4 linked regions of the Schizosaccharomyces pombe genome follow. The protein of the gene in region 2 interacts with the protein of the main gene of each other region in a biochemical or structural test. Each region holds a gene or a part of one and is shown on either strand. Other genes may lie near its edges.

Region 1 (6,559 bases), on a different chromosome or scaffold from region 2:
CCTTTTTATCATGTCACACACATTATGCTAAGTAAAGGATTCTAGTGAAATACAGTAGTTATGCAACTATTAATAAGTCATTATTAAATTGAAACATGTTATGTCGTTTGAAACTGGATAACATTACGATACCGGAGATTTGTGACCATTTATATCGTAACATTGACTAAATCCAAATGGGAGAATGATATTGGGCTAACCAAGTCTGCTCGTATTTGAAGGCTTATACCAAATGCAACGAATAGAATATCATACCATACTACGGGATACACGGGATTTACAAATATCCAATTGTAAGAATTGTCAATTTCCCGGATTTAAAAAAAAAAAAAGAATGTTAGTATTGATGACAAAAGCCTTACTTGTTTGAAATACTGAACAATTATCATTCGTTTATACAACGCTATCCTTCCTGTGCCGAATATAAACATTTTACGTCCTTTTGTATTTCCATTCTTCAAAGAAATCCTAATCGTGGTATATGATTTATCATTCTAATAAAAAATATTAAGACAAGCGAGCTCAGCCATACTTGTTTTTTTTTTACTCATTTAAATGTTGTACAAATGCTAGTTATGTTACTAAGCTTTACTGTGATTTGAAAGCATTAGTGTTGTTAATAACACATATGGATTATAGTACATAATATATCAATTTCAGGTCTTAGCAACGCAATCGTAATCTGACTTAAAAGGATTTATAATTTCTATTTGTGATCAATATATCATCGTAAAAGGAAAAGTACACGAATTAATGTCTGGTCAATTTCACTATGGCTAAGTATAACCATGGAAATGAACAGGAAATAGTTCAGAATGAGCTAGCTTATATTTGCTTAGCCGGTAACCTTTTATAACCACTTTTGAATAGTAAACAATGATGGAACAGGTTACGAGAACCTCAATGGAAAGTAGAACATAGAATTACATGTGGTTGTAAGTTCATGGCAATATCCATCAAATTATAGAAATACTAACAATAAACAGTTTTTTTCTCGATTATTGATTATAAGCCGCTGGAATGATATTAAATAAACACACTCCTTTAAAGGAATATTCACGAGTATTATTATAATATACAATTTGCGAAATAATAATTTATAACAACCTCGCTACAATTTACTTATACTTCTTACAACCGCACATTGCTTTCAAGTTAATCCATTAAATTATGCCAAAAGAACAGTGCGGCTCATTTGACAAAACATTCAAGTGAATCTTAGATATCTATACCTTTTTGAAGTTTGTATTCCTCCATCACAGTGCGCATATGCTTGTGATGCTCATTACCTTATTGTTTACAGAAAACCCAATATTACAAATAGACCCAGTTGAACAAAAGTACCCCCAATTTACCTTTACTTTATACAATTTGTTAATGATAAGAATGAACAACAGTCATATTGTTCATTGGAACTTTTACAAATAGGATCTTTATTCATTATTTATTCAGATTAGCTAACAGGAATGATTACAGAAAGCATCATCGTAGTCTACCGTATCCTAAAAAGGCTTACAGACTCCTTAAATAATACAACGAAAGGCGTTCTAGGCCGCAAAAAGAAACTCACCGCCATAAATTTAACGAACTATCATTACAATTTCTTATGTTCGTCTTAATCTAAAAACAACAAAGTTCGTGTGTCGACGTGCTTTGTTTAACTTGACGATGCCAACATCGCCTCGTCGCAATAGTATAGCGACGACCGATAATGTTATAGGAAGAAACAAAAGTAGGAAGCGTCCACACTCGCTTGGAGGACCTGGTGCGCTTCAAGAACTTAAAGAACACACAAATCCAGCAAAAGGCATTCTAAAGAGTTATTCATCCTTTTCCGTAGATCCCGCTTTCACAGGAGATGAAGACTTTAATGATATACACACACAAATAAATAACACGGTCATTGGAATCTCTAGTAATGTTATGGCTGCGTCAAAGAGACTTCAAATGGAAGACCTACAGCAATTGTCGCGTGAGACGTCTAGAAAAAGTTTGAACAGAAGAGTTTCCTTTGCTAGTCATGCACGTGTACGTTGGTATCCTAAAGATCACCAGAGTGACTCGGAAAAGTCGACATCTAATCACAGCACACCTGAGCGAACTTTTGCATCTGATGCTAAAAACCATTCCCCTAAAGGTCCAACAACGACAAGTTTTTCGAGAAACGAAACACAATCATCTCCCCATAGTCATAGTGCCTCGATTATTTCAGACGGTAGTGATATGGACATTGCGTCCCCTATTCGGTCAACCGAATCAGATATGGTCTCTGAGGCATTGAATGCTGGCCATCCGCCTCCTTCTCTGTATCCGGAGAATGATGATTTAAGTATCCAGAATCCAACAAAAGCCTTACCTGAAGCAGAAAAGGCACTTGATGTTCACGATGCCACGAGAGAGCAGGTTAATGATAGAGAGGAAACTAACATGGATTTGACTATCCAATTCCAAGAAGCAGATTCGTTTTTATCACATTCCGAATCAATTAAAGGTCTTAGCTCTAGCGAGCAAGGTACTGTTTATAGTTTAAAAGCTTCTCATGACCCTTCAAACCAAACTCAACTTTCATCCCCTAACAAATCATCTAGTCCAACTAGTATTGAAATTTCGGATTTCTCCAAAAATAACGAAAATCACGATCAGTCGGAAAATAAAGAAGAAGAAGAAGATATGATGCTAACTCGACCTATTGAAATTCCGCAACACTTTTCCCCCATCGCTCGCCCTTTAACTTCCCAAGAAGCTATTGTTGACATGGATATTACCTCTAATAACATTAATTTATCTCCAGTGTCTCATTTTTCCAATGGCTTAGATTTACAAAACTTAGAAGAAGCGCCTATGAACCTTACCCGACCAATTAATGCTAATCCTCACTTAACTAATCATTCTCCGAACGATTTAACTAATGGAGAAGAAGAAATGGATACCACCTCCGCCTTTAATATCGAAAACTCACATTTAACTCTCCTTTCCCCCATTCGTCCATCGTCACGATCCATGGAAGAGCAAATAATGGACTTGACACAACCCATTAGCTCTACAAATGCACCCACCCATTTGAATGAAGATGATTTAAATCAATTTACCTCAAATATATCCTCTTCTTCAAAACCGAGAAAGGATAATAACAAGACTGCCAATTCTTCAAAGCCCATTCCCGACAGTGAGGACTTTATGGACATTACTAGACCTTTCAATATATTATCCCCTTCTAAAGAAGCACTTTCCGAAGAGCAACCAATGGAATTAACCTCAACAGTTTTTCCTTGTGAGAATTCTACATCTCATCTTGAGGTGGAAGAAGCTGCTATGGACGAAACAGTGGCTTTTCAAATCCGTGGAAACAATGTTGAGTTACCTTCAGCAGACAAGGAAAATGCCGAGAGAGAAGAAATACCCTCATATAGTGATAAGTCAGAAAATTTCAATACTACCTCCTTTACCAACCATGAACGGTCACCAAATGGGAACAATAATCTAAAATTTTCGAAAGATCCTAACTCTTCTTCTCCAAGTAGACATGTGGTAGCGACTCCTACTGATAAGCTTGGTACTCGGAAAAGACGCTTAAGATATAGCACTTCAAGTTTTGATCAAAGTACCTTGCGTCGCAATCGTCTTGCAACAATCCGTAATGCTCGAAAATCAATTTCAACTTTGAATGACAGAGAACTTCTACCGGTTAACTTTTTCGAAAAAAAAGTAAATTCTGGTCTCTATAAATCGGTTGAGCGATCCGAAAATTATCGTCTAGGAGCTACTCCACTTACCGCAGAGAAGCCATTCACCACAGAAAAGCCGCTTTCAAGTCTTCCTGAAGAAGTTTCAAGGCAACCCACTGATGACAAAGGCGAACAAGTGTCTAATGCAGATGTTGATTCTGGATTGAGTAAAACAGAGCGACTAACAATTCAACAGACTAACGAAATTAAGCACGTTCCAACTAATACGACTTCTTCTGTTAAGCTTCCTCAACAACCTTCGAATGAGGATGAAAAAGAGCGTATAACAACTGCAGATTACGCCGATTCAACTAGTTTGGAGCGATTGGAATCTCAGGAACCCAACCGGAATGAACTTGTTCAAGTTGGTTCGTCAAATGCAGGTAATACAACTTCCGTGGGCATGAATGAACATGAGAAGTCACCCGTCAAATTATCAAAAGGTGTGAGCAATGTTGATACATCGTTGGGCGCTTCGACTATTAACACGAACATTTTGAATCAAGACTCTGGTCCAAATGAAGAAATACCTGTTGGTAATGAGCCAGAATTTGATACGATGCCAACTCTACCAAACGTCGAGCCGATAAGCCTATCAGATTTTCTTAAAATGACCGGAATTGAATTTTTGGATAATCTTACTATTGCTAAAAGACGAGAAACCCTATTGCCAAATGCTGAAGAAAATAAGAAATGCAGTATCCAAGAACTTTTGGAATCTTTTTACATACAATTCCCTTTGTTAGAGTTATACAAATTTAGTTGTCAGCAATTACAGGATTATATTGCCGAAGGGAAGGATTTTGTTACTAAAATTGAAGAGGAAACTTTGAAAGAGAACCCGTTACTATTCTATGAGTATAGGAAAGCATCCAGTGATATGAGGGTTTTAATGGATTCACAATTTTTAATGATGAAAACTTTTGCTAGACTTCAAGCAAAAGGTGATTGGTACGAATGGCGTGAGGGTTTGATGCAAGGAATCAAACATGAATTAAATTTAAATTTAACTGGGATGCAAAGAAGCTTGACCCATTTAATGGATGTCGCGAATGTTATTCATCCGTATGCGCAGGAAATTCAAGAGAGATACAATGGTAGTATTACTACAGTACAGACATTAAAGAAGCAGAAGGAATTTGCAAATCAGTATGACTCAACTCTTCTAGCGCAGGCGCAAGAAAAGTTAGAGAAACTCAAGGTTGAGGTTGAGAGGAGACGTCGGCTTCTGAGTGAAAAAGAAGAAAGAAGAAAGGAGTTGGCAATAAAGATAGAACAAGTGACAAACTCTTGCTCTGATTTGGAATTACGTACCAACGCTGAACAAGATTTTTATGCGAAAAACCAAGATTTTGAATTTGACGAAATTAAGCGATACGAGGAGCAGTTGTTAAATCTTAAAAATGAACTTGGCTGGACCATAGTTTCTTTGACCGCGGGCGGAATTAAATTAGCTACAAATAACACTGCTCTTTCTCCTTATTCAGCCGAGGTTACGGTTGAGATTTTGAGGCAAAATTTCCAAGTTAACGTTGATATTGCCTGTAAGTTCCCTAACGAAAGTAATGCTTGCAGCTCAAATGTGCTCGAGCATGTTGCATCGTCGTTTTCTAAATGGCATTCCAAGGTATTTTCTAGGAACTTACGTCTTCTGAAGAAGTATCTTAACGATGTTTCAATTTGTTGGGAACAAATTGTTTATCTTGTCCAAGATTTCCAGCGATTATGGTACCATTGGCCCTTTTTGTCAGTTGAAAATGATGATAAGTCTATTATCATAAATGTTGAGCTATACCTGCGTTCGGTATCATCTAAGGTAAAGGTTGTTTTCGGTCTCCCAATTGATACTATCTACCAAACTACTGAAGTAGGAAAGTTTTATGCTTCTACATCAGTCGCTGTGAAACAGATGTATGCGGAAAGTGAAGGAGACTCTTATGTTAGTGAGGTTTTGAATACTCTTTCGGAAGTGGTGCATTGTACATCAACTTATGCCCTTTCGTCTGCTTGTCTTACTGTTTGGAACAAATACAGCTAGATATTAATGGGAATGATTAGCTATGCTGCGCCGAAGCGACTTCCTTTCCCAATATTCATTTTGTGCTTAACGCTTGGAAATATCATTTATCCTTGTTGTATACTAGTTCATTCGTTTTCGTTAATTCACATGTTACTAAAGAAAATGTATATATTTTATGCTATTTAATATTGGTGAAATAATAATGGTAGATCTTGACTGATAATGAAATTATAAATCTTTTTGTTAAACCCGTAATGCGCTACAAAATAAAGTGTTTAGTTAATATATAAATAAACTATCCATAATTAAAAGATTCTCGGATGTGCAAATCTGGTGTAGTAAAGTTTCACATTGATCTGATAAGTACGGGATCGACATCTTACGTTCTCCTAGATACATATATACACAATCGATAGAAGAGACCGATCCTAAACAAAACAAAGATCTTAACTAATTTAAGAGAATTGGACGGATATTTAGATTTTTATAATTGAAAGTCAGACGCTGCTTACAAAATTATGAGTTTGCAAGCTCAAATTTTGCAGAATTGAAATAGGAGGTTTTTTAGATTTTTAGGCTTCGCTCGGATTATTAAGTTATCCATTTTTTATTTTTGAACACAGTTTAATTAAGTAAGTCAAAGTTCCTGAACCTCGTCTGCAATTTCTGATAAAAATATTAATACACTTAAAAATAGATTGCATCCGCAATCGAAAGTTCACAGACAGCCGGTTGAGCCCTAATTTCCAGGTTTTCTACATATTTACTTCTTTAGAAGTTTTGTTTTATATATAGATATCCCTTTTCTTGAATT
Region 2 (4,493 bases):
TTTCTAAAATGAGAATCTCGTTTGATTTGTGCTTCTAAAAATAAAGGTAGTCTGCCGGTTAAATTTAAAGCGAATGCGTAGAGTAAGCTCTTACTGGATGTATATGAATAGCTGTGACGTTCTGTTAATCTAAAGTAAATTGTATCATTGCACTTTTTAACAAAATTACCCGTGAGATTAATTGCGGTTGAACTTGTTTTTCGTGCTAGACTGATGATTCGCCCTTATACATATTGGCTAACTTTCGGCTAATCTTCACCGAATTTAGTCAAGAATTGGGTGGTACAAATTTTCTATTAATTGATAGTACCTTAGCAGCAGTATAAATCTGAATTTCTTAATATTATTATTGTGTTCATAGACTTGTTAGTGAGTACTCTGCTAACTCGCCGGTAAATAGCTGTAATGATAATAAGCACCTTACTCTCTCTTACGATTAAACGGTGGCTTTATATTATCAAATCCCAAGGAATGCCGAAACATTGTATAAGCCTACTGTATATAAACGTGTGAACTACCATAAAATAGCATCACTGAAAAGGAAATTTGATTGCATAGTAGTATAAACAATAACTAAATAGGCAAATTATTTTCCAACGTGAGACCAGTATACATAATTGAAATGAAAGACCTTTAAACAAAATTGTCAATGGTCATTATAAAGGATTCCACCGATAGCAAACAGAAGCTTGCAGCGGAAAATGCCATCATCAACGTTAAGCACTCTCTCGAAGATAAGAAGTATAAAGTAGTTCAAACAACTATTGCTCGGTAAAAACATCCGTCTTTTAAGCGTCAGATTTTGTTAAAAAAGGGAATTTAGATGATGAAAAATAAAAGGCAATAGTCTATATACATCTAACAATTGACGGAAAAGAAAGAAAATGAATAATGAAATGGTAGTGCAAAAAATAATTTCTTAAAAGAACATTCAGTTATTTCATGAACAATTAATCATCGACCATTGAGAAATGACGAAAAGAAATCCGTTCAAACAGCTACATAAAGCGGTATTATCGTCGAATTGTTGCTTGTGGAAAATGAAACCAACAAAAAAGAATGGGAGAAATTGGATTGAGCTTAAATTACTTTGAATTTCCTGTCTTATTCTTCCGAGGTGGAGTCATGTGCCAATTTTGACTTGAACCTTGGTATCCGTAGCGTTGTTTTTTTTCAGCCGGTTTCAAAATCTGGAAACTGCACAACAAGCTCTCGTCAACACTCATCATCGCACCTGCATTATCAAACTCGCCACAGTAATTAGGTGCACTGAACAATGTGACTAGCTGACGTTTAGAGAAGAACTCATAACCGTCTTCCACAACCTGATGGGCTCGGCAAACAAGATCCATATCGTGTTTGTGCAAAAACCGAGAGACAACATCAGGTCCAAACGTGAAAGAAACACCTCTATCATTATCACCCCAGCCTGTAAGATCCTTGTCAGGATCAGACCAAAGTAAATCACAGAGTAACCCAGTATCAGGGACATCGGTCGGTCGCATGATTCTTTGGATCTGGTCCATAGAGTTCAAATCTGGCGAAAGACCTCCATGCATAGTAAAAATTTTTTCATCAATGATAGCTGCTATAGGAAGGCAGTTGAAGCAATCTGTAAATGTTTTCCATAACTTAATGTTATAACGGCGCTTACATTCATCGTAAAATCCATAGATACGATTAATACTGGCGCATTCATGATTTCCACGTAAAATAAAAAAATTTTCGGGGTACTTGATTTTATAAGCGAGCAAAAGACAAATTACTTCCAAGCTTTGTTTTCCTCTGTCAACATAATCACCTAGAAACAGATAGTTGGCTTCTGGAGGGAATCCTCCGTACTCAAAAAGTCGAAGAAGATCGTAATATTGGCCATGAATATCTCCACAAATTTTCAAAGGAGCTTCAAGCTCTAGAAGGATAGGTTGACTAATAAATATTTCACGTGCTTTGTTACATAAAAATCGTATTTCATCTTCAGATAATTGAACCTGTCTACCTGGACGACTACCACGGACTAAAAGAAGTTAGTAAATAGCTAAATGGTTTAAATGGTAAAATTAAGGATGGAAGTATTGGTTAGAAAAATCATTCACACAGAAACACGATATATGCCAATATGCAATCGCATTTGAATACAAATATGCGTGATTATGTATATAAAGCAAGTGTCATCACAAATGAGACCAAGAATCAAAGAAAATGCTTTCTAAACGTTTTCAAAGAAAAAACTTTCCCTTTTTCCTGGGTTTTCCTCAAATTTTATGAACAGTTGAATGAACATTTACATAGAGTCGTTTCCAGTTTCTTCATGTAAATTATTGTATTAAACAACAACTGATTTCAATTTCCTTTCAAAAATTTGTCTAAACTCAACCCTTCATCATGATCAAGTCTGCTTTTCCCCACTCACCTTCTAACAAGCGGTCGATAATGGAATCCAAATCCACATCTGGGTTCGACATTTTACAGGTATCCAATATAACCGCTTTTGACACTTATGAAGTCAAATTTTTGGGTCTGTGATTAATTTTTTACTCGACCGAATTTCGACGATTTTTCTTCCAAGTAAAGTGTTCCGAGGAAAAGTAAGACGGACGGAGAACGGTATTCAGTCGGCAAACCGTTTAAAAGCAATATTTGCTGCTAACTCAGAAATAAAGGTTATGGCTAACAGTAGGAAACTGGAGTGAGTTGTATGTAGTAGGTAGTTGAATGGTTGGGTGGTGGGTGTACAACGAGCTTGATGCATAATATGTGCCTACTTTCCTATATTCCTAGTTTCTATAATCACTACTACATTAAAAAAACGTATATAAACCTATAATTAAATTACTTTGGAATTCTTTTCTTATATTAATTGTTGATTTTAAACAACCCTCTAAATCTTGCTGCTCTACAAATTGTCTAGCAAATTGATTCAATTTTCTTTATTAATAAAAGGTGAAGAATAATTTAAATATTTTAAGAGATAGCAACCTACTTCAAGATAATATCGGTTTATTGTTTTGCAAGAAAACTTCATTAGAATTTAAAATGGTATATTCAGAACATTTTAATTTCGCAGTATTTTATCATAATATTTTATTTTCTTCTAAGCTTGATTTAGAAAATAAATAAATAATTTAATGTATGTTATCTGAACTTTTAAATTGAAAAAGCTGCACCTGCTTATGATTTGAGTTTGCTAATCATAATAATATGCATATATAATTAACAAATTATATAGTCAGATTGGTTTCATTACAGTTTTTCATTTTCTTGAACCCTAGACTTTTCTCTTCAAAAATCTCTTTTTTTTTTTTTTTTTTTTTTTTTTTTAATAATAAAAAAGCAAATTTGATGGATGGAATGTGATTTATTTAGACACTTAGCAGCATATAATTTAATTTACGAAGCAAAAAATTAAATATTTTTTTTCACGAGTCGATAAACACTAATAAATCACATAAGTTGATTAAGTGGTTTTTATTAATTGTAAAAGTAAATATATGATTGTATGCCATTGAATCCCATATATGAAATTTAATGCGTTATATTTATAATTTGTGATTAATTTATATAAATCGGCTTCTATACTAGATTTCTAGCTAAGTTTATTTAGCGGAGCTTCAATAAAACAAAATCAAATTAAATAAAATTTGTATCAAACGAAATCAACATCATTATTGCTACAGTAATAGATTTTGCGCTTTTGAGTATTATTACAAATATGTTCTGACTCGATTAATATAATGTCGCTCACATTTTGTTCACAACAAATATACCTGCAAAACTTTGATATCAATCAGAGAGAAAGATCCTTCCTTGGTTGAAAACTCATTTTTGGGTATAAAATAAACTCTTCTAAAAAATGTTTGGTATGACAATATTTAGACATGGAAAAAATTTAAATCTCCCTAAATTATCTACACTTTCTAAAATTTTATTTCCCTACAACAAAATTATCAATTCGTATATCACCTCTTCCAAAGTTTCCTTTGAGAAAACCCTTGTCACTGCTTTTCGTAATCCGACCCAACGTCGTAGCATCTCTACCTCTCCCACCCACTATTTGAAAATGTCAGCTAGCAGAACTAACGTTAACGTTGCTATTGTTGGTAAGCACACAATAAATTGAATGCTTGAATGTTTTGTAAAGCGAAAGCTAATCACTTAAAAATAAATAGGTACAGGAAACATCGGCGGTGAACTCTTAAACCAAATTAAGGGTTTTAATGAAAACGCTTCTACCAATGGCACTACCTCTTTTAACGTTGTTGCCATTTCTAGTATGGAAGGTCACTACGTCTCCAAGGATTATCAGCCCATTAATTTGTCTGAATGGAAGAACCTTACTTCTCAGAACCAAGGTGCTTATTCATTAGATGCTTTGGTAGATTTCCTTGCCAAGTCCCCCCTTCCCGCCATTTTGGTCGATAACACTGCCTCTGAAGCAATCGCTCAATCTTATCCTAAATTTTTGAGCAAGAAAATCAACATTGCTACTCCCA
Region 3 (5,115 bases), 1.7 Mb from region 2:
CTGCATATGGTCAGGATCAATTGTCCAATAATGACCTTTTAAAGTTTTACCCTTGGGTTTTTCTACTTTGATAAAGGCTTTGTTTAATGAAAGGTTGTGCCTAATGCTATTTTGCCAACCACCATCATGGTTGAGGTAGTAGCGAAACGTGTTGCGAATCCACGTATAAATCCCGCTTAAAGTCAGTTGCTTGTTATGTGATTGTAGGATCGCCAAACCGATTAATGTAGCATAAGAACACGGTGGTTTTTCACCAGTATCCACAAAGCCCGCCATTTCATCTCCAAATATCATTTGTCGTATACTGTCACTACTCAGGTTTTCTTTATTCTCTTCACGAAGCAATGCTTCAGTTTCGCATTTTTCTTTAGAAGACACATTGGAAACATTTTGAGAATCATTAATTTTTGAAGATTCCTTTAATGAAAGGCTAAGTATGACCTTTTTGGGTTTACCATGTGCTTCGACATTCCCTTGATTTTCAACCATTTGAACAATTTAATAATTTTTAGAGTACTGATTATTATATTTATTAGGTAATTATTAATGGTATTTGTGTTATTTTGACTCTGTTTTTGGATGACGGGTTTTGTAGTAGGTAGGTGGGAGAGGGCTGGTCAAGCCGTATACAAACAAGAGGTATTTAACCGAGGTCAAAACATGGGTATGGGAAGGGAAGAAAATACCGTAAATATGTAAACACAAGCAAGGAAAAAAGCAGTTTTGTTGAAAATAAAGTAATTTTCTTTCCAATACATTACTTACAAGTCATGTTTTAAGATTATAAATTTAGTAAATAAATAATACAAATAAAAATCTCCGTGCTCAATTTGCTAAGGTCAAGCTTTTAAAGAAAAAAGAAATATAATTAATTTTCTTTGCTTTTTCCTTTTTGTTTTAAATTTTATTTTGAGCTAGAAAACCAACTTTGGCCTTTAATGAACAGTCGCCATCACGCGGAAAGGCCATTAAAAATATTATGGGATGCTCAGCAAATTAAGTTAATTTAAGATATGAAGAGAAAGCCAAAAAGTAAAAAGAGCACATTCGTATGGATCATTTAGGAGTGTCATCAACGTTGGAATTTTCATGAAAAGAGGGTGACTTCAGATCAGATGTGGATTGTTGGTGCAAGCTAGTAGAAGATGGATGTTGCTCGTTGGTCTTTTGGTTGGCAGATTGTCTAGCAATTGAGTATTCAGGAACATATGAGTCAATGTACTTAATATTGTGTTGTGTTTTGTTGGTATCCGCATTTTCGCTTGCTCGAGATGTCGTTTGTACTTTGCTATTATTCTGGTATCTGGAGGACACATTCCATGCTGGTTGTTGAGACTGGGAAGATTGTCTTCCTTGACGGCCGTAATCCGAGGGGTTTCTTAATCGTTGAGATCGGTCTTGTTCAGGCCGGTAGTAGCGTTGACCGTCTGCATGAGAATGATTAGAAGTTTGATTCATAGCGTTAGTTTCAGAAAATTCGGAATTTTTCTGTGGCAAATCAGACGTTAAAGGTTTAAAATTTTGCTGACGCTTAGGCTGATAATTAACATTACGACTTCTATCCATGTTACCGCCTTCACGATTGTACGAACCACGTTGGTATTGCGGTTGTGAGTTATAATTTGGCCGACGAATTCCATACCACGGATCGCTAGGTCCACGAGTCATGAACCGGAACTGTCTCTTACCATTAGCGGTTTGTTCAAACGCATGTGAATTAGCATCTCTCTGTTCTCTTTTCCTTCTTTTGTCGTACTCATGAGAAGCACTGTAGCTCTGTAGTTCAGAAGGGTTTGCTGGATATGGTGGTGTTGTAAAATATTCATGCTCTAAAGCCATTGAAGCAGATAAACGTTCATCCGGATTAAGGGTCAAAATAGCACCGCAAAGAGAAGTCATTTCCTTTCCGAAAGTAAAAAATGCAGTTTCAAGTGTTCTAGGGTGTGAAGGAAAAGAGCGAACGCCTTCGCACCCAGGAAGCTTTTCCCAATTTGGCATAGTAGCTTGAGTTGGTGATCCACAAAGGCGAAAGATTTTATCCAATTGGTCCAAATCACTACTTCCTTGAAGGATTGGCCTTCCTTTATACATTTCGGCCATGATGCATCCCACGCTCCACATATCAATAGCGGTAGTGTAACGACGCTCGCCAAGCAAAAGTTCTGGTGATCTATACCAGCGTGTAACCACACATCCAGTGTATTCTCTACGATTAGGTGGAGGCAAGCCAGGATTTTTGTTTGCATATGACTCCTCCGTTATCACACGTGCGAGACCAAAATCGGCAATTTTTAAAATCCCGTGATTATCAATCAATAAATTAGCAGCTTTAAGATCTCTATGAAGGATAAGCTGATCATGTAAGTATTTGGTTCCAGCAAACAATTGCTTCATATAGCATTTAATTTGCGGCTCCGTGAATTTTACACTTGGATTTTCTAATAAACCTGAAAGGTCATGATCCATATAAGGAGTCACCATATATATAGAACCACGACGTCGATGCTTCTTGTCTGCACGAACAACAGTCATATCAGATAATGGAATAATATTCTCGTGTTTAATCGATTTTAAAATTTTTATTTCGCGAATGGCTGTAATGGGAAACTAAAATGTAATGCTTTAGTATTTATTCATGAATTAATTAAAACAATTAACGCAATCAAGTCGATGCGTCCCAAGTCATTCTGTCAAAATGAACAAGAATCTAAACAAACATCTACTTACACCTTCCTTTTCAGTATGCATGAGTATTCTTTTCAGCGCATATACCTTCCCGTCCTTACGCCGCTGCGATTTGTAAACTTCGCTGGTGAACCAAGTTAGTGATAAAATTCAAAATCAGATATTTGACACATACCCAAATGTTCCTTCTCCTAATTTTTCCATTAAATGATAATCCGTTAAATGGCTGCACCCTACAAAATGAAGTTTGGGTACGACATCTAATTTTCTCCTTGCTGATTTCTCATCTTCGACAGAAACGCTGCTTGAGCGTTTCATTTTTTTAACTTATATTATACAAAAGATCCCAACGATTAGTGAATAAAGTTAATTATACAAATTGTAGTATAAACCCGATCGATGCGCGAAATGTTGCATCTGATGAGGATATAGTGGAAGTGGACCCAACTATCAACTATATGCATTAAATACGGAGGCGAAGTAAAATGCGCTATGTTTCAAAATGAGAAAACAATACTGTAAGTATAGAGAATAAACAATGCTTTTTATAAAGGGAAAAAGTTGCATTAGTTTTAAATATCTTTCAAAGGACTCCCTAATCTCAAATAAATGCGCAAAGTTTACAATTTATGAATCAGGAAAGAGTAGTTATTAAAACTCAGGAATAGTACGTACTAAATTTAGAAAAAGATAGTTGAATAGACTGAAAAAGACATTCAAACTATAAGAGGTATGCAAAGGCCTTAAGCTGACGGGGTGCTCAGGGTGCTCATGTTTTACATGCGGGAACAATGAACGTGCATTAAAATATTATAGACATTAAGCGAATTAATTAGGTCGTTAGTAAAATAAAAAGAATATTTAAAAATGGTTACAATAATTAAGACTTTTAAGATAGAAAGTAAATCCCTTAAGATGGTATGGAAATCGTTTGCGTTGTTTCTAACTCATTATCTAAAACTTCTTGAGAAATTATAGTTTGAGTAACTTCGGTAAATGATTCATCTTCATCTTCCACAATGTAAGCAACGGTATATGCATCTTCACCACAAATTACTATAACTGGACGAGAACTGAATTCTGATGGTTGAAGCCATTGAACCTTCTGAATATTAAAACCTTTTTTTGGAACTCCAACGACCCTGGGTGTATTCCAACTTAAAGCCCAGAAGTATAGGAATGTAGCATTAGACGGAATTTTGGATTCTTTCCTAATTTTTGTTTGAATGACCACCAAATCGGGACGACCTGGATGCCATTCAAAATACACTATATGATGTTTTTGAATAAGAACAGTGTGCAGTTTTTTATTCTGTAAATTCCATAGCCAAAGAACATTAGGATATTTAGAAGTAATTGTAGCAGCATACGTCTCATCACAGTTGAAACGTATTTTTGATGCTGAACAAAAGGAGGGTTCTGGGAAATCGGTTCTGAGTTTATGTACTTTTTGATAAGTCATTTGTTGCTCATAGATTGTTTCCTTCTCTTCCCATATATGCATTTCCAAGTCAGTATTGGTATATTGCAAACAATGGTGAAGTCGAAAAACTATACTAAAAGTTTTTGTTTCAAGTAGATGTAAGGTTGAATCATGGTAACTGCACAAAGTTAGATATTTGCCAAAGGGACTCCACTCAAAATCGGAAAAGCCGACTTCAATTAACCTATTTGGTCGATATTCGTGAAAAAGAAGACCGGTGCGATGATAAATATAAACAACTGCATCTAATACGTTTTCCAAAACAGCTAACCAGTTTCCATCTGGCGACCAATGGATACCCGTCGAATCTATTGTAGGAAGCTTACACTCTTTAAGAAGTATCCATGCCTTTTTGCTGATTTGGTAAAATTGAAGGCAATCCGAACCGTTAAAACGAGATAATATAGTACAGAATTGCATGGATGGATGTAAAGCGTAAACTAAACAGTCAGTAAATTGATATATCAGACAAGAAATACCTTTCGAAACATTGGTTTTTACATGTGGAAGCAAATAACCTTTCTGGGTATTTAAAGACCACACAGTAATCTTCGACTAAAAAATTTGCTATTAGCATCGCAGATATATAAGCAAAAAGTTGTGCAAATTTTATTAGATACAACGTACATCAAAGGACGACCAGAGAAGCAGTTCTCCAGACGGGCTCCAGCTGATACTACTCAAAGGATCCTGGTCGCACTGTATGCTAGCATAATAATCGTGTTGTACAATATCTAATACAAACACTTTATCAACTGAGGCAACACAAATTTGATGGCATTTTTCTGCTCCTAAATTGGGTTTCCATAACAAGTATACAACCTTTTGAATGAATTGAGCGTTTAGAAGGAACACATGGTGAAGCTCGAGGGTTTCAGAATTTCGAATTAAGACATGCCCAGAGCGAGATAAAGACGCAATCCAATTACCACAATGTGAAACACTTG
Region 4 (4,630 bases), on a different chromosome or scaffold from region 2:
GACGAAAACTCAAAAATTTTTTTAAGTTAAAAGACAATGGAAAATGGAAGCACTCCATTTTCCATTTTCACGCTGTCTGTAATTCACCAATCCATCGTAATGATGGAAGCTTGAACAAGCTAGTTAATTGTTATGTATGTTTTTCCTCATACATTGGAAGTTAGACTATGAATAGAAATAATAACTGGACTATACCTCTTTAGAAACAAATACAACAAAAAGCAAAAAGAATAAAAGGAAGCCTACAGCACCCCGGATTCCCATGTTGTCTCCAACCATAGTACTAACGAGGCCCTCAGACGCTTAACTGCAGTGATCGGACGGGAACTGGTGTTTTCACCTAGGTATGGCCGTAGACATTTGTTGTGTTAAATAATAGTATTTATTCTGTTATTCAAGTAGGTTAACTAGTGAGTAGTTCATAGAAAAATAACTTGAGAAATGACAATCTTGATATGAATGATCATTGAAATAATTTGAAAACTAAAAAAAAAAAATTGTTCAGATTGATAGGAATGCTACGTTAACAAAAATTGACGATTTACTCGCTCGTACAAAATTGATTTTTATATGCATTCTCAAGTCTAGTGAACTCAACAGCATCTATTCCCTGCGATGCTATTCCTAGTACGAGAATAGGAGTAGTTCACTCGAATGTCTCGTTTCATTGGGGTAGGGAAGGAAACACTTATATATTTACCATACTTTAGTATTTTTATTCGTAACTCTTTTCAAGGAATTTTTTTCAATCCAGTATCATTAGTGCTGTGTCTAAATAAAGAATAAATACCAATTTCAAACCAGTCAATGCATTCGTTTTCGCAACCCACCCACTAGCCTAAGCTATGAAGCCTCAAAAATAATTTGGCGTACAGACATTTTAATCAACATTAAGCTTCACAATAAAATGTCAACGAATGTTTAGTAAAAAGACATTCTGACTATTAACAATTAAAAGACACTACATTTTGTAAAATATATATTATGTACTTAATCTCGTAATGAACAAGCAAGTCCCGAGTGGCTCAATCGGTTTAGAGCGTCTGACTCTTATGATGGTCATCAGAAGGTTGCGAGTTCGAGTCTCGCCTTGGGAGTTAGTTTTTACATTTTTGAGAAATGAGATGCACCGATCACTGACTCAAAGGTTTTGTAAAATAAAGGCTTCATTTAAATTTTCGTTCTTGTATAAAGTAGAAATCAACTGCGAACCCTAAAATGTAACGACCGATAGATCCATACTGTTAGCACGTTGCTGTAAATTTTTTAACTTATTGGGAGATTATGAAATGAGATTGATGTTAGAAAGCTTATAAGCAACATATACAATTACGCTTTTTTTCAGAAATTTGGGTAAGTATCATTTATTTTCTTTGTTTATTGTCAAACCCACTTTCCGATGTACATTAAAGAATCGTTAAATAAAATTACGACCTTTTGTACTTTCGTAGCTTCACGTACCGGTACATTAAACAAAATTTTCAAGTGGTGTTATGTTTCGTTATGTGTGTTTGCTACACGGTATTTCCTCGACCGGATCTCCACCTGTCGGTACATTCCAAAAAAGCAGTAAAAGTGTTAAATTCTCAGAAAGCGGCTGAATTTTCTTCGAAAATTTTGCTATTTAGAAGCGCCTTTACGGTTATATAAGAGCTGCTAAACAGCTTCAAATTGAACTCCCTTTGTCTCCAAATTTGTAGGCTTGTTTTGAAAGCTTCAAAGAAGAAAGGGTTGGAGCGCTCCAAATAGCCCTCAAGATGAAAGGGATTAAAAGCAAAATGGTAAGATCCATATCTAGTGTTTATTTGATTAACCAGAATCTAGCTTTCTCGAGGGAAATCTCAAGATACCCAGAAGTCTAGCAAGAAGAAGGAAAGCAAAAAATCGAATTCCCATGACTCTAGCAAGGCTCCGAAAGAGGTACGGAAAAGGTTTTTACTTACTTTTAACATTTTCATAGTCTCCCTCGACGGATCCCAATGGTTCTGTGATTGGTGCCCAAAACGACTTTCTTACTGTTCCAAAACATTCAGGAAAGAAAGTACCTATTGATACCACACCAACTCCTAGAGATGAGATCTTATTAGAGAATGTCAGGACTGTTCGTAAACAACGTTCATCCCTTTACCATATATCTGAAAATCGAAACCTGGTCCGTCTTCCATCCTTTACTGGTATGTTTTATGGATACACTTCATTGATTGTTTTAAGTAGTTATAAAAGATTTTGTTTCTTATTAGAATGTCATGAAATTGGATGGTGTTCAATGCGGCACATGCTGGTGTCGCTTGTGGATTTACTGTTCAGCTTGATGTGTCTGATATCGAAAAAGGAATCCTTCCATTTTTTCTCACATTTCATTTTATTTTACTAAGAGATGATTTAAACCACAAACATTGAATAGGATTTTCTTTCTGATTTAATGTACTTGGTGTTGACAAACACTGAGGTGTTATCAATATACTTTGTTGTCAACCAATTTAATTTACTAACCTGTCTATTTAGATGTTCCTGTTAATAAATGGCACTCTCTGGCGTTGGAAAAATTAGAACAATGTTGCGTTGTTTTCGATTTCAACGATCCCTCCACCGATCTTTACGGAAAAGAAGTGAAGCGAGAGGCTCTTCAAGATCTCATTGATTTAATATCTGTTCGAAAGGAAGCAATTGATGAGTCATTGTATCCATCCATTGTTCATATGTTTGCAGTAAATGTGTTTCGTCCTTTACCTCCTCCTTCTAATCCTCCCGGTGAAATCATGGATCTTGAAGAAGATGAGCCGGCTTTGGAAGTTGCTTGGCCCCATCTTCACCTTGTTTACGATTTTTTCTTAAGATTTTTTGAATCTCCGTCTTTGAATACATCCGTAGCCAAGGTGTATATTAATCAAAAATTTATTAGGAAATTACTTGTATTGTTCGACAGCGAAGATCCTAGGGAACGTGATTTTCTAAAGACTACACTTCATAGAATATACGGAAAGTTTCTTTCTCTTCGTGCGTTCATAAGGCGCTCAATTAATAATTTATTTTTGCAGTTTGTCTATGAGAACGAGCAATTTAATGGTATTGCCGAACTGTTGGAAATCCTCGGGAGTATCATTAATGGATTTGCCCTACCACTAAAAGAGGAACACAAAATATTCTTGTCACGTGTTCTTATTCCTTTACATAAAGCCAAATCCCTTCCCCTTTATTACCCTCAAATTGCTTATGGAATTGTTCAATTTGTTGAAAAGGATTCATCTGTTACAGAAGAGGTATGTATATTTCCTAGTGTTTCTTACGTTTTATCTAACGATGACAATATAGGTTGTCTTGGGCTTACTTCGATACTGGCCGAAAGTAAATAGCTCAAAAGAAGTCTTATTTTTAAATGAAATTGAAGATATTATTGAAGTGATGGAACCTTCAGAGTTTTTAAAGATCCAGGTGCCGCTCTTCCACAAGTTGGCAACATCCATATCTAGCCAAAATTTCCAAGTTGCTGAAAGAGCTTTATATTTTTTTAACAACGACTATTTCGTGCATTTGGTTGAAGAAAACGTTGACATTATACTACCAATTATATATCCCGCACTCTTTGAAATTTCAAAAAGTCACTGGAATAGGTAAGTAGTTACTCATTTAAAATCCCTTTTTATTTTCTTTATTTAAGATAAAGAAAGTGGTTTATTAGTTCTTGCTGACGTTTTGTTAGAGTTATACATTCTATGGTTTGTAACGTCTTAAAATTGTTCATGGACATTAATCCTTCTTTATTCGATGAAGTTGATGCTGAGTATTCTGAGAGTCGTCGGAAAAAAGAAGATGAAGAAATTATACGAGAAGAAAGATGGACTATACTAGAAAACATCGCTAAAGAGAATGCTATGAAACTTAAATCTCAAAACCCTACTACTGTGCACTCTACTACTGAGAGACTAAAAAAACTTTCACTTGACTACACCAATGGTTAGGACTTGCATATTTTAATAATGATCCATATATTGTACTTAGTCTCTAATATTCCCTCTTTTACATTTTACATACTATATCATTTTCAGTTAGTATTTCCTTTTCTTTTAATTGATTGTAATAAAATATAAATCGGTAACTTGGTAGCAATCTTCTTTTCAAATTGAATGTTGCAATCTCAAGTGGGCCTAAGCTAGAAGGGTTCATTTTTTTGTTTGCATACCCCAGCTTAACCTACCACTGAGAGCCAACTGTAGGTATGCCAGTGAGGTGCTCCTCAACTTCAGCAAAAGCACTAAAATTGGCATAATATAATTGTTATTGAATATGTCTTGCATTCAAATTATTTCATCTAGTCAAACTTCAATTGCTGGTCATAGAAAGCTATGCAACAAATTGTTTACCCTACGGACGCAGGAAGGATTTGAAACCGACATCCTAAGGGCGCTAAATATTATATTAACTGTTAAAAAAGGAAACTCAAATGCTGACCGCGTTTTGAGGTTCCTAGTAACCTTTGTTAATTACCTTCAGCAGAAGGATCCTGAGATAGACATTGTTCAACCTATCTTAAAACATATACTTCGTGGGTTAGATGCCAAAGATAAAACTGTAAGATATCGTTGCTGCCAAATTATTGCCAGAGTGGTTAATTGTGTAAAAGAAATTGATG

What was found.
Region 1: the proteins of dis2 (region 2) and spc7 form a complex in vitro, tested with the Schizosaccharomyces pombe proteins (one study listed by BioGRID).
Region 3: of the proteins of dis2 (region 2) and cdk9, one has a biochemical effect on the other in vitro, tested with the Schizosaccharomyces pombe proteins (one study listed by BioGRID).
Region 4: the proteins of dis2 (region 2) and par1 form a complex in vitro, tested with the Schizosaccharomyces pombe proteins (one study listed by BioGRID).

The regions. Positions count from the first base shown.
Region 1 is NC_003421.2:785,724-792,282, reverse strand, and holds spc7 (outer kinetochore KNL network protein, KNL-1 family member, blinkin, Spc7), read left to right. Parts: upstream 1-1,622; 5' UTR 1,623-1,668; coding exon 1,669-5,763; 3' UTR 5,764-5,994; downstream 5,995-6,559. UniProt on the Schizosaccharomyces pombe protein: Acts as a component of the outer kinetochore KNL1 complex that serves as a docking point for spindle assembly checkpoint components and mediates microtubule-kinetochore interactions.
Region 2 is NC_003423.3:3,172,634-3,177,126, forward strand, and holds dis2 (serine/threonine protein phosphatase PP1 catalytic subunit Dis2), read right to left. Parts: upstream 2,466-4,493; coding exon 2,414-2,465; exon of another isoform or gene 2,346-2,413; intron 2,065-2,345; exon of another isoform or gene 2,018-2,064; coding exon 1,086-2,017; 3' UTR 532-1,085; downstream 1-531. Other genes in the region: hom6 (homoserine dehydrogenase), read left to right, coding at 4,061-4,100, 4,170-4,493. UniProt on the Schizosaccharomyces pombe protein: Essential role in cell cycle control. PP1 is perhaps required for exit from mitosis.
Region 3 is NC_003423.3:1,468,568-1,473,682, reverse strand, and holds cdk9 (P-TEFb-associated cyclin-dependent protein kinase Cdk9), read right to left. Parts: upstream 3,116-5,115; 5' UTR 3,004-3,115; coding exon 2,861-3,003; exon of another isoform or gene 2,810-2,860; coding exon 2,728-2,809; exon of another isoform or gene 2,608-2,727; coding exon 1,057-2,607; 3' UTR 501-1,056; downstream 1-500. Other genes in the region: DNA-binding forkhead transcription factor, meiotic Mei4, read right to left, coding at 1-489; wdr8 (WD repeat-containing protein), read right to left, coding at 3,596-4,608, 4,648-4,723, 4,796-5,115. UniProt on the Schizosaccharomyces pombe protein: Component of the positive transcription elongation factor b (P-TEFb) which consists of cdk9 and pch1, and which phosphorylates the C-terminal domain (CTD) of RNA polymerase II and spt5.
Region 4 is NC_003421.2:1,474,020-1,478,649, forward strand, and holds par1 (serine/threonine protein phosphatase PP2A regulatory subunit B-56 Par1), read left to right. Parts: upstream 1-1,553; 5' UTR 1,554-1,757; coding exon 1,758-1,781; intron 1,782-1,824; coding exon 1,825-1,920; intron 1,921-1,960; coding exon 1,961-2,174; intron 2,175-2,505; coding exon 2,506-3,260; intron 3,261-3,312; coding exon 3,313-3,611; intron 3,612-3,700; coding exon 3,701-3,959; 3' UTR 3,960-4,084; downstream 4,085-4,630. Other genes in the region: condensin complex non-SMC subunit Cnd3, read left to right, coding at 4,285-4,630. UniProt on the Schizosaccharomyces pombe protein: The B regulatory subunit might modulate substrate selectivity and catalytic activity, and might also direct the localization of the catalytic enzyme to a particular subcellular compartment. Has a role in cell shape control and septum formation.